2 separate regions of the Mus musculus genome follow, and region 2 is reported to be linked to region 1. Evidence: microRNA targets listed by miRTarBase, many of them from high-throughput screens and not tested one by one. Region 1 holds a microRNA gene; the other region holds the end of a gene's coding sequence.
The links. The annotated mature microRNA mmu-miR-7234-5p reads UUGUUUUCUCCAAAGACGUUUCU and lies in region 1 at 1,792-1,814, opposite strand. An mRNA with a match to its seed (bases 2 to 7 or 8) in the 3' UTR can be bound and repressed. Matches are read on the target gene's strand: a 7mer-m8 pairs with bases 2 to 8, a 7mer-A1 pairs with bases 2 to 7 and ends in A, and an 8mer does both.

Region 2: miRTarBase lists Cst3 as a target of mmu-miR-7234-5p. The part of its 3' UTR that is shown has no 7-base or 8-base seed match.

What each region holds. Positions count from the first base shown.
Region 1 is chr7:73,816,025-73,821,403 of GRCm38, reverse strand. Mir7234 (microRNA 7234) reads right to left here and starts at 1,814; the gene lies at 1,763-1,814. It overlaps Gm10619 (predicted gene 10619), which reads left to right and starts at 4,901. Exons shown (of 4, transcript NR_077222.1): 1 at 4,901-5,379.
Region 2 is chr2:148,867,167-148,872,545 of GRCm38, forward strand. Cst3 (cystatin C) reads right to left here. Exons shown (of 3, transcript NM_009976.4): 3 at 4,556-4,877. The coding sequence ends at 4,794. Among named protein-coding and RNA genes, the nearest start is that of Cst3, 5.7 kb to the right of the region's middle.

The DNA.
Region 1 (5,379 bases):
CTAATACAGAAACAAATGAAGAGCCAAGCTGAGGTTCAGGGCCTGATGATACCTGAGACAAATCTCTGTTTTAAGTCCCAGGAACAGCAAGGTTTGAAAACTGGCAATAATTGAAGATTCAAGTCAGGTTTCCAAGCAAGTTACAACTCACAAATGCTCATCACCCTCTGAATCCAGCTAAGCAGTGAGCCTTAAAGGCACTATAGTCACTGGGGATGCTGATGGGCCATGAAGGAGTTTCACCTCCCAGACTTAGATCTACAAGCATCACAGAGGTCCCTGACAATGTTAACCCAGAGAAGAAATTGCATAATAGAAGCCAAGATATCTTGGCTGTAACGCATCTCTTATGCTGTCACATATTCCTTAGGAAAGAGACTCTTCCTCTTGAATAGCACATAGAGCAGAAGAGTCAGAAGGAAGTTTCCCCACCACCAGCCAGCTAGCAGCAGGAATTTTTAAGAGTAACCCAAAGAGGGAGTGAACACAAAGGAGAAAAATAATCTATCCCTGTTGATGCTCTAGCTCACCTGGAAATAAGAGTGGCATCTTCCTATGACTCCCACCTTTGCACCCTCAGAAGGGCAAGAGGAAGCCGCCCTTGGCTTCTCTTCTGCCATCAGGAGTCATGAAGCAGTCCTAGTCAGAGGGCAGCAGGGCACATGCTCCCACCCCAGAGACTGAGCAGTGGACAAAGTCTATAAAGCAGCTGGAGTCACCTACCTAGAGCAGTGACCCCCCCTTCCCTCCTCCTCCCCCTCCCCCTCCCCCACCTCCACCAACTCTCTGCAAACCTTCACGAGAACTCTCAACAGCACCCTGAACAGCTGCCAGAAAAAGAAGTCTCACATTGTCTCTTCAAGAGGGGAAAGCACACAAACAATAACCCAGTCTGCAAGGCAGCGACCCTTCCCTTTGTACCCCACAAGAAGACCAACAGAGTCAACTAACCTGGGCCCTCAGGGGCTCCCAGAGACTGACCCACCAACCAAAGACATGGGCTGGGGCTAGCCCTCCCCCCTCTGCTGCAACCCTGCACATATGTAGCAAAAGTACAGCTTGGTCTTCATGTGGGCTCCCCCAACATCTGGAGCAGGGGCTGTCCCTGACTGTTGCCTGTGGATCCCGTTCCTCACACTGGGCTGCCTTGTCTGGCATCTGTGGGAGAGGATGAGCCTAGTCCTACAGTGACTGATGTGCCAGGATGGATTGATACCTGGTTGCACGGGGGTTGCAGGGACGGGGGTGGTGTTTCCCCCTTCTCAGAGGAGAGTAGGAAGTAGGGCCGGAGTTATGTGAGGGGGTGAGGGCTTATGTTTGGAAAGTAAAGTGAATAAATAAATTAATGAGAAAAAAAAAGGCTTGTCCCCTAGTTTTGTGTTTCCTGGTGGCACAGCCACCTCTAGCCATGGCGCTGTCATCGTCCACGAGCTCCCAGGGGAGCAGTGCCAGGGGAGTCAGCACTTACAATTTCCCATCCCCCCCCACCACCACCACCAAAAATGCCACTCACATCATCTAAAAGACAGCTCACTGGTGAGGATTAGAGATGCTCGCTGGCATCTCCCTTCCCTGTCCCCTCCAACTACGGTGGGCACCATTCGAGGGAGTGACTTTTGACAGGCGGAGGGCAGAATCAGGGTATGAGCCGCTGTGCTCGTCGCTCGGAGCGCACCATCTGTTTGATAAACTTCCTCAGAAAGAAAATATGACCTTGGAAGTTTTCTTTTCCAGGAGCACCGCTTCCAGGAACGTGCTTTGTCCTTCTACCCTAGAAAGACGTTTCTACCTAGAAACGTCTTTGGAGAAAACAAGGTGCGCATGCACGATTTGGCCACAAGGAGAACTGTGGAAGTCTCGCAGACAATAGAAAATGAGGCCCTAGTGTCTCTACATAGGCAACACGGCAGGTCGTTTTTTTAGTCGTTTCTCGATTACTTACATACTAGAACTTTCTCCTCTAAAAAGTTACAGCCTGGAAAGGAAGCCTAGTGATTCAGAAGCAGGGGCAGAAAGGGCGCCTTCCCCAGAGTGGTCTCTGGAAGCTATTGCATTTTGAACCACTTGCTTGGATCTTAGGTTTAAAGGAGATGGGTAATATTTAAGGGATGTTGAATACAGAAACGTTTTCAAGAAATTAAGCAAGAAAGATACTGTTGTAGAATACAGTTCTTAGTGATGCCATTCCTACCAATGACAAGACCACCACCACCACCACCACCACCACCACCACCACCACCACCACCGCCGCCGCCGCAATTTTTATGTTGAGGAAAGGAACAAAGGCCTGGAAAGAAATTAAAGCTTAACAGTACCAGATGTGTGTCCAACATGCCACCCAAGGGCCACATGCATCCCAGGATATGAGCGATGCAGCCAGCCGGCACCATGGCTGAAATTACAGGCAATCTCTCATAAACACTTCCCTACGTGTTCTACAAGGAACATGCAACATTTGAAGAGAGATGGAAGAGTCAATAAGCATCCATTTTCATCCCTTAAATGTGCTCCAACCTCAAGGTTTTGGCTGTGTGTTTTCCCTTCCTGTCTTGGGTAAACTTCCACAAGAAGCCGAGGAAGACTGCCTCCCTTCTGCCCCCACCACACTGAGGCTCCGCCCCAAGTCCTGCCCTCTTCCTCCCTCTCTCCCTCCAACCAGCAGTCTTTTTCCCAAAACCCGTCCGACATCCCATCTATCCCATTCCAACATTGCCAAATCCACTAGGGTTCTCTCGGGCCACCCTCTTACCACGTGCTCTCCCTTACATCTGTGTTCAGACATTAATTTAGCAACCACAGTGTGTGAGAGACACACTGCTATATATATTGGGAGACAAAGAGCTCATTAAGCCGCTGGCAGGAGAGAGCCGGTACTTCGCCCTTCTGAGGCATGTGGAGAGTTAGTTCTCTTACATAGGACCATGCTCTTCTGGATTCCCAAGAAGCTACCCACCTCCCCACTTCCTTCTGCTTCTGGTCTTGCGCCTCAACTTCCCCCTCCACACTCATGTCCCTGGAATCTGCCCTTGCCCTCTTGTTAAAGAGGCCCCTGGATGTAGAGTTCCACCAAAACTCACCTGCCAACTCCATTTTTAATTTTTAATTTAATTTTATTTTATTTTTTAGATAATGGCATCTTATCTCAGCTCACCTCCCTCTGCATGTGCACTTCTTGAGGCTTTTCTTCTTGCCCTTCTCCACTGTCAAAGCCTTCCTTCTTTTGACCCCAATCCTGACCTCACTGAGATCTGTCTCCTATAGACTAGAGCCAATGAATTGCATCTGTTGCATCTGGCATGACCCACCTAAACCCTTCCATCTGCCCAGCTGTTCACCAGAGTCTACGGGATAAAATCCAGAGAGAAGCAACCCCATTCCCTCCCATCCTAGTTTCCTCTGTGAACATCCCTTCCCTTGTTTCCTAGGTTCTGCCGCATCTGCTCACTCCCATCTCTGTGCCTAAGCCCGAAAGCCAGGCTCCCCAGCATAGCCGATGAGTCCTTTCTCCCCAGCCCCTGGCCGGGCTGTGTCCTTTCTTCTCCAGGATCTGGCTAAGGAAGGGCACAGTCCCAGCATAGATAGCCCTCTGTCATTCTGTCATAGCCAGGGTAGAGTGATCATTTCAACTGAAGTGAAACTGAACCTGGGCTTTTCTTCCAAATCAACTCTCTGGGCTAGGGGTAGGGACACAGCCGTTCTAAGCAGACAGTCATGGTAGTCTACACTTAGAATGAGGCTTGGCCTGGGCCATGTACCAGTAGCAGTTATCACCAGAATAGGAAGCCCATGCTAAGCTATAGCCCTACAGCTGCAACTCTTTTTAGGTCTGAACACATCGCAGGCCTGAGTGGAAAGCTTTTGTCGAAGTTTCTTTGCTCCTGTTGTAACTGTGAAGATAATGATGGTTCCTCACTTAGAAGGCAGCTACCCCTGTGTCCCCCTTTGCATTCAGTTCAGCCCAAGGCAGCAAAGACATCTAGCTATTCCACAAAACTTGCCGAAGAGTCTGTAAGGCCTTGATCTACCAGGGGAGAAAGGAGGTGAGTCTCTGGCAGGAGACCCCCTCCAAAAGTGCCCAGGACTGACATGCGAAGGGGGTGGCTAGCACAGGTGAGCCCTGTGTCCTGAACCTCATTCCCAGAGTGCCTTGAGCCAAAGGCTTTTTCAAAAATTCAATCTCCAAATGAGGCCTTACGAAGCCACTGTCTTTTTATGTGTGCTATTTAAAAAGAAAGGCCTCTGTCTCTCAGATGACCTGTGCAGTGTGCAGGCCTTGATACAGGGTAGATGGCACTGCAGAGGCTCCTAGGGGTGTTTAAGGCCATGCGTTCGTGGCAGCCTCTTCTCTAGCCCTCCCTAGGATGCTCCCCACCCCAGTGCACAGGAGCAAAGCACTAAGACTAAGAAGCCAGCAGCCCACCCTGCCAGGCTGCCAAGATCTGTCAGTGGCCAGCTCCCCAGAGGTGGGGCACATGTCGTTGCTGGGCAAAAGGCAACACGTATTAAACCTGACACTGAACCTCCACCCCAGACCCTTCTCTGCAGGCAGCAGGTACTCAGCTGTCTGCCTGGAAGTATGTGAGCCATAGCAAACCTTAAACAAGAGAAGGGGCGGGGAAAGGGTTGTGTCAAGGCCAAAGTCCCAATACCACAGCCTCCACTACCCAGCACACTAGGATTCCCGTATCAGAGGGTTTTTTAGCAAGACTTTTGATAAGGCAGTGACCACCCTGAAACCTGTAATGGGAATTGTCATTAAGTGGACTGAGCATTTCCAGTGACCCAACTGCTGGGACCCCACTATGATCTGGACTACAGCCCTTGGGATCTGAGATTCCACCCAGCTATAGAACCAGGGTGCCAACTGCTGAGAATTTTCACAACATTCCAAGGGCAGTTGAAAAAACTGTCACACAGCAAAGCTCCAAGACGGCAGAATCCACAGTCCTAGGCAAAGGGCAGGTGTGCGTTTGAGGGGAAGTGACGGAGGGAAGAGACAGACAACTATTCACCTGGCCCCCGGGGCCTGCAAAGAAGAAGGGGTCAAAAAACAGAAAGAGGTGAACCCACTGCTATCTCCTGGACTCAGAGGCAAATCTGGTTTGCCATCCATTACACAAACCAGCTCTTTTATAACCCAACAGACAGGGATAATAGCTATCCCTGGAGCTGAATTATAAGTGAATACTATAAATCAAGATGAAGTTCATGCCAAGCCTGTATTTTTTTTATCAGAAAAAAATTAGCAATGTTGGGTTCAAAGGAGCTGGGAGAAAACAAGACTGGATGGGAAGAGACTTCCGTGGCCAAATGCCTGTTCCACTATGCATATGCTGATGGTATACTAGATGCAAGAGTTTGTGGAACAGTCTTCGTTCA
Region 2 (5,379 bases), not on the chromosome of region 1:
TTTGTTTTGTTTTGTTTTTGTTTATATAAGGGAGTTGCTGTGGTCATGGGATCTCTTCACAGCAACAGAGCATTGGCTGGGATGATGATTGATGTGATTAAGTAAGTACATCTCTCCAGGAGGGTATTCCTGGAAAGGAAGCTGAGCAAGTCATGAGGAGCAAGGCAATAAACAGAACTCCTCCACAGCCTCTGCATCAGTCTCTGTCTCTAGGTTCCTGCATTGAGTTGCTTCACTGACTTCCTTTGGATGATGGAGTACAAACTGTAAGGTGAAATAAAACCTTTCATCCTTAAGCTGCTATGGTTATGATACTTATCACAGAAATAGAAATCTTAACTATGGGTGACTGTGTATATGCAATGAATCTTCAAAAATGTTCTCCAAAAGAGGGTCCTTGCATTTCCACACGTGGGAAGTGGGGATGGAGATGGACGAATGGAAAGGGCATGGGAGCTCATGCTCTTTTCCCAGACCTACCCCATGCACACATTTCAGCCGTCCACTTTGTATAAGCATAAATGACTTTGTATTGTCTTTTGCTGTATTGCCTTTCACAAATACTGCTTTCTTTTTTTCAAATCAAACGTTTGAGGTAACCATACATTTGAGCAAATCTACAGGTGTCACTTTTGCAGTGTGATCCCTTCTTGACTTTGTGCCGGTCACATTCTTATAATTTTCATAGTATTTCTAACTTTTGCGTTAGTTATGGTGCTCTGTGATCTAAGGTTATAACCTTAGATGGTACTGCTATAATTGTCTGGGTGTTTAGTTTTAATTGTCAACTCGAAGTAATGAAGAATCACCTGGGTAGGAAGTCTCAATGAGGGATTGCCTAAATCAGGTCATCCCATGATATTTTATCACAACTGAAATGAGACTAGTACAGTACTATGTAATATTGGGGTTGAACTTGGGCCATGTACATGCTAGACAAGAATTCTATCACTCAGATACATCTCCAGCCATTTCTAAGTCTTTATTTTGAGGGAGTTTCTCACTGAGTTGTCTAGACTAGCCTTGGACTTGGACTCCTCCAACGTAAACTTTCCGAATAGCTGAAACAACAGCTTTGTGGCATCAGGTTCAGCTTGACAACATCAACACAGCTCCACAGGTTGATTCCTTCCCAGTCTTGCTAGACCTCCTCAGGTCTCCGTATCTCTCTGGGGCATGATACTGAAAATAGGCCAATGTGTCATCCCACAATGGATTTTAAGTTTCAAGTGGGAAAGCAGCCTTAATCACTTTTAAACACTGAGCCATCACTCCAGCCCCAGGTTGTTTCTCTTTCTTTCTGTTATGAATAGCCCAGCTAGAAGACGGCATGTATAAGCTTGAGAGTACAGTCACTTTATGCTGTTTATCTTGGATATATAAGCAGGTGTAGAACTGTTAGGCTTATGGGATGCTTTGAGGATATGCCAAGCAGTTTTCCCAAATCATTTTCACCAACCTCACCAGTTGAGTTGGGGTTTCCTGTTTGTTAGCTTTTTTCAATGACACCATAAGTATGAAGTGGGGACAGATGCTTTTCACTGACCTTATCCTCAGATTTGTGATAACCATTCATGTATGTCTTAATGTTTTGCCTATCTTCTTTTTTTTTTCAACAAATAACTTTATCAGTATAAATTATTTTTAAATATAAATAGAATTCATATGCATCAAATTGCATTCATTCCCTGGCATAATGTACCTCCAAAACAAAGTAACACAAATGAAAATACATGACTGTAAAATACATGTTAATGGCAAGCCACCATTTTCCAAGACCATAATTTTTACAGAAATATAGTAGCAGAGAAAAGTCAATGCACACATTTAACATATACATGCTAGAATCAATCCAAAGCTCCAGGGAAACATAACACTGATGCTTATATGAGCATAAACACAGCTTGGTCTGAAACAGGATCTGTGCAACAATGTGATTGTGTGAGCAATGACAAACGTAGAGACTGAGATTCATGAAATGCCCATGCCCTAAGCTAACAGTGAAGAAACCAAACAGGAAGCCACATACCCTACTGCAAGCCAACTTCTTCTAAGGTCAAAATGTGAAGAGAACTCAGGGATGCAGGAATGAAAAATGAGCTAAATTCTTTTTGCTTTAAATTGCCTATCTTCTTTAGAGATATACCTATTGAGACTTTTTACAATTTTAATTGGGTTGTGGTTTTTAAAAAATTAACTTGATAAATTTAAAAATGAGATTGTCTTCCATTTTCTAATGGTAACATCTTTTTAAAAAGGAAGGTTTTGTCTATGTGGTATGTGGGCGGGATCTGTGTGTGTGATGGTTTGTATATCCTTGGACCAGGGAGTGGCACCATCTGAAGGTGTGGCCTTGTTAGAATAGGTGTGACCTGGTTGGAATAGATGTGTCACTGTGGGTATGGGTAAAAGATCCTCACCCTAGTTGCCTGGATGTCAGACTTCCACTAGCAGCCTTTGGATGAAGACATAGAACTCTCAGCTCCTCCTGCACCATTCCTGCCTTGATACTGCCATGCTCCCACCTTGATGATAATGGACTGAACCACTGAACCTGAAAGCCAGCTCCAAGTAAATGTTGTTTTTTATAAGACTTGCCTTGGTCATGGTATCTGTTCACGGCAGTAAAACTCTAACTAAAACGGTGTGTTTGGGATTTTTAGGTTTTTTTTTTTTTTTGTTTTCATGTTTGGGTTTCTTTTCTTTTCTTTCTTTTTTAAGAGGGACAGACTATGAAATTGGTGAAGTTTGTGAGGCCTGGGAGAGATGTGGGAGGAGGTGAGGGAAAGAAAAGAATATGAACAAAATGTCTTGTGTAAAAAGTTTTAAAAATAAAAATACATTACAAAAAAAACCAAAAAAATTAAAGATATTTTGAAAAAATAGGTCATTGAAGCAAATTCTATGAACATTTTGGCTGGATTAATATTTACTTATATAAGAAAGTTCATACATTATACTGAACTATACTATAAAATGTCTAGATAATAAATTCTCATAAATCCCAAGAACTACTGCGAGGTGAGTATAGGAGGTGACTCAGGTCACAGAGCTGGGGCAGGCAGCTTCCAGATGTGCTGGGTTTCACGCTTTAGTTGAGAGACACACACAGAGAGAGAGAGAGAGAGAGAGAGAGAGAGAGAGAGAGAGAGAGAGAGGGAGGGAGGGAGGGAGGGAGGGAGGGAGGGAGGGAGAGAGAGAGAGAGAGAGAGAGAGAGAGAAAGAGAGAGAGAGAGAGAGAGAGAGAGATAGGGAGCACCCTAGGTACTATTGCTGTGTAATGACTTGCCTTCACTCACAGATAAGAAACATTTTAACCTGCTTCTTATGTTGTAGATCAAGGTATCAGAAAGACCCAGCTAGATAATGTCTGCTGTCCCCACATGGTCCCATGGCTTTGGGGAAGATGGGCTTACCTTCAGAGAAGTCTTGCTTCCCCTGGGTCGGGTCTAGGAAAGCACAGCAGGAACTTTGCATCTTTCTTGGTTTTGCTCTAGCCTACCATGTTATCATCTCACTTTCTCCATGACCCGATGAGTCACACACCATCCAGAGTCAAGCAGCAGAGACACAGACCATACACCTGAACGTCAGGACCACCAGTGAATTTCAGGACCAAGTAATAAACCTATCACAACACACAGTAACACAGACAAAACATGTGCACACTTTCCTGTGGGCAGGGCTGTCCAAGACCCTTAATACTGAGCCAACCATTCTGCTGAAGACCCTGGGCAATAAGGACACTAACTCTCCAACCTTGCCTAGACTCAGGTCTTGGAACTCAAGACCCTCTACTTGAGTCTTCCCTTCTCTCACCTCAAGAACATTAATTTATCACTATCAGAGGAGGAAGAGCCTGCCTACAAGGCCAGAGGAAATAGGTCACCAAGAAGAGAGGCTCTGCCTTCCCTTCGGGCTTTGCTTTGGCTTTTACTGAAGGACCTCTACTGCCCTTTAGTGTTCACACCAGTGGCCTGAAGACAGCTTCCTAATGCAGCTCTGATCTCCTTTGTGATTTGAACACAGGTCCCAGTAGCTTGGCTACTCCCCTTTACATTGGAGGACATGGGGATGGACATTGAGCAATAGGATATGAGGACTTGTATTTTATACAACCTTGTAGCCTCCCCAGATCTATGCAATCATGGCACTAAGGTGATATTAACTAAAACTCCCTACTTGTAAGTTGGAATTGACTTTATGTCTGTTTCATTTGGGTTAAATCTCCCCTGAAGCTGCATGAAAAGACTTGTGTTATATCAGGGCATAGAAGGGCTGGGAGTATCCCTGTCACCCCATAGACACCAGTGACCCAGGCCCAATAGTATAGGAATTGGTGCTGTGTGGGTTCTGGGTCTCTCTCTCTCTCTCTCTCTCTCTCTCTCTCTCTCCCTCTCCCTCTCTCTCTCTCTCTCCCTCTCTCTCTCTCTCTCTCTCTCTCTCTCTCTCTCTCTCACACACACACACACACACACACACACACACACACACACACACTTGTTTTCTGGGTTTCCTTGCTGCATTATCCTGAGACAGAAACAACTCAAACAGAGCCAAAGGAGTTTTTTTTTTTTAATTGAGCAAGGCATGGCAGGTACTGCAAGAAGAGTGGAGCCAGGGGACAGCTGTTCAGATGTGCAGAACCTGCCTGCAGCAGCTCCTTTACTGTCTCCTGGTGCAAACACACTGGCGGTGCCCTCCAGAGCCGGAGCACCCTTCTGCGAGATGAAACACTATAGGGAAGGAGCACAAGTAAGGAACAGTCTGCATGATCCTTCTAGACTCAGCCCTTAGGCATTTTTGCAGCTGAATTTTGTCAGGGAGTGTGTGCCTTTCCAGGGCACGCTGTAGATCTGGAAGGAGCAGAGTGCCTTCTGCAAAAGGGAACAAAGAGAAACAATCAGTGTGAAGCTACAGCAAAGACAAATACCCACTCCGGGATGATGGAACAAGTGTATGCAATGATGGAAGCTAAACCCTTCTCCCTTCTGAGTCCCAGGACACTTAGCAGGGTCTGTTCATCCCTATTATTGGATGGTATGTGTCCCCTTTCCTGGTTCCACAAGACCATATTCTTCAGCCCCAGCACAGCTTGTTAAGGAGTAGCCTTTTAAGGTGTGGGAGCCCTAGAGGTCAAGGCAGTGGAAAAGGCTCAGGGCCCATGAGCCCTCCACCTAAGTACTAAGAGGGCCACCAGGAAAGAAGCCCAGGCATAGGACACATCTCTAAAAGTGGCAAAGGTATAGGGAAGGATGATAAGGAAAATGTAGCTATCACCACAACCATGGTGTCACATCCCTGCAGACATGGTAGAAGAGGCACAGAAGACTCCAACCATTAAATAGGTTCTGTTCTCTTTCATGTGGTCTTGGCAGG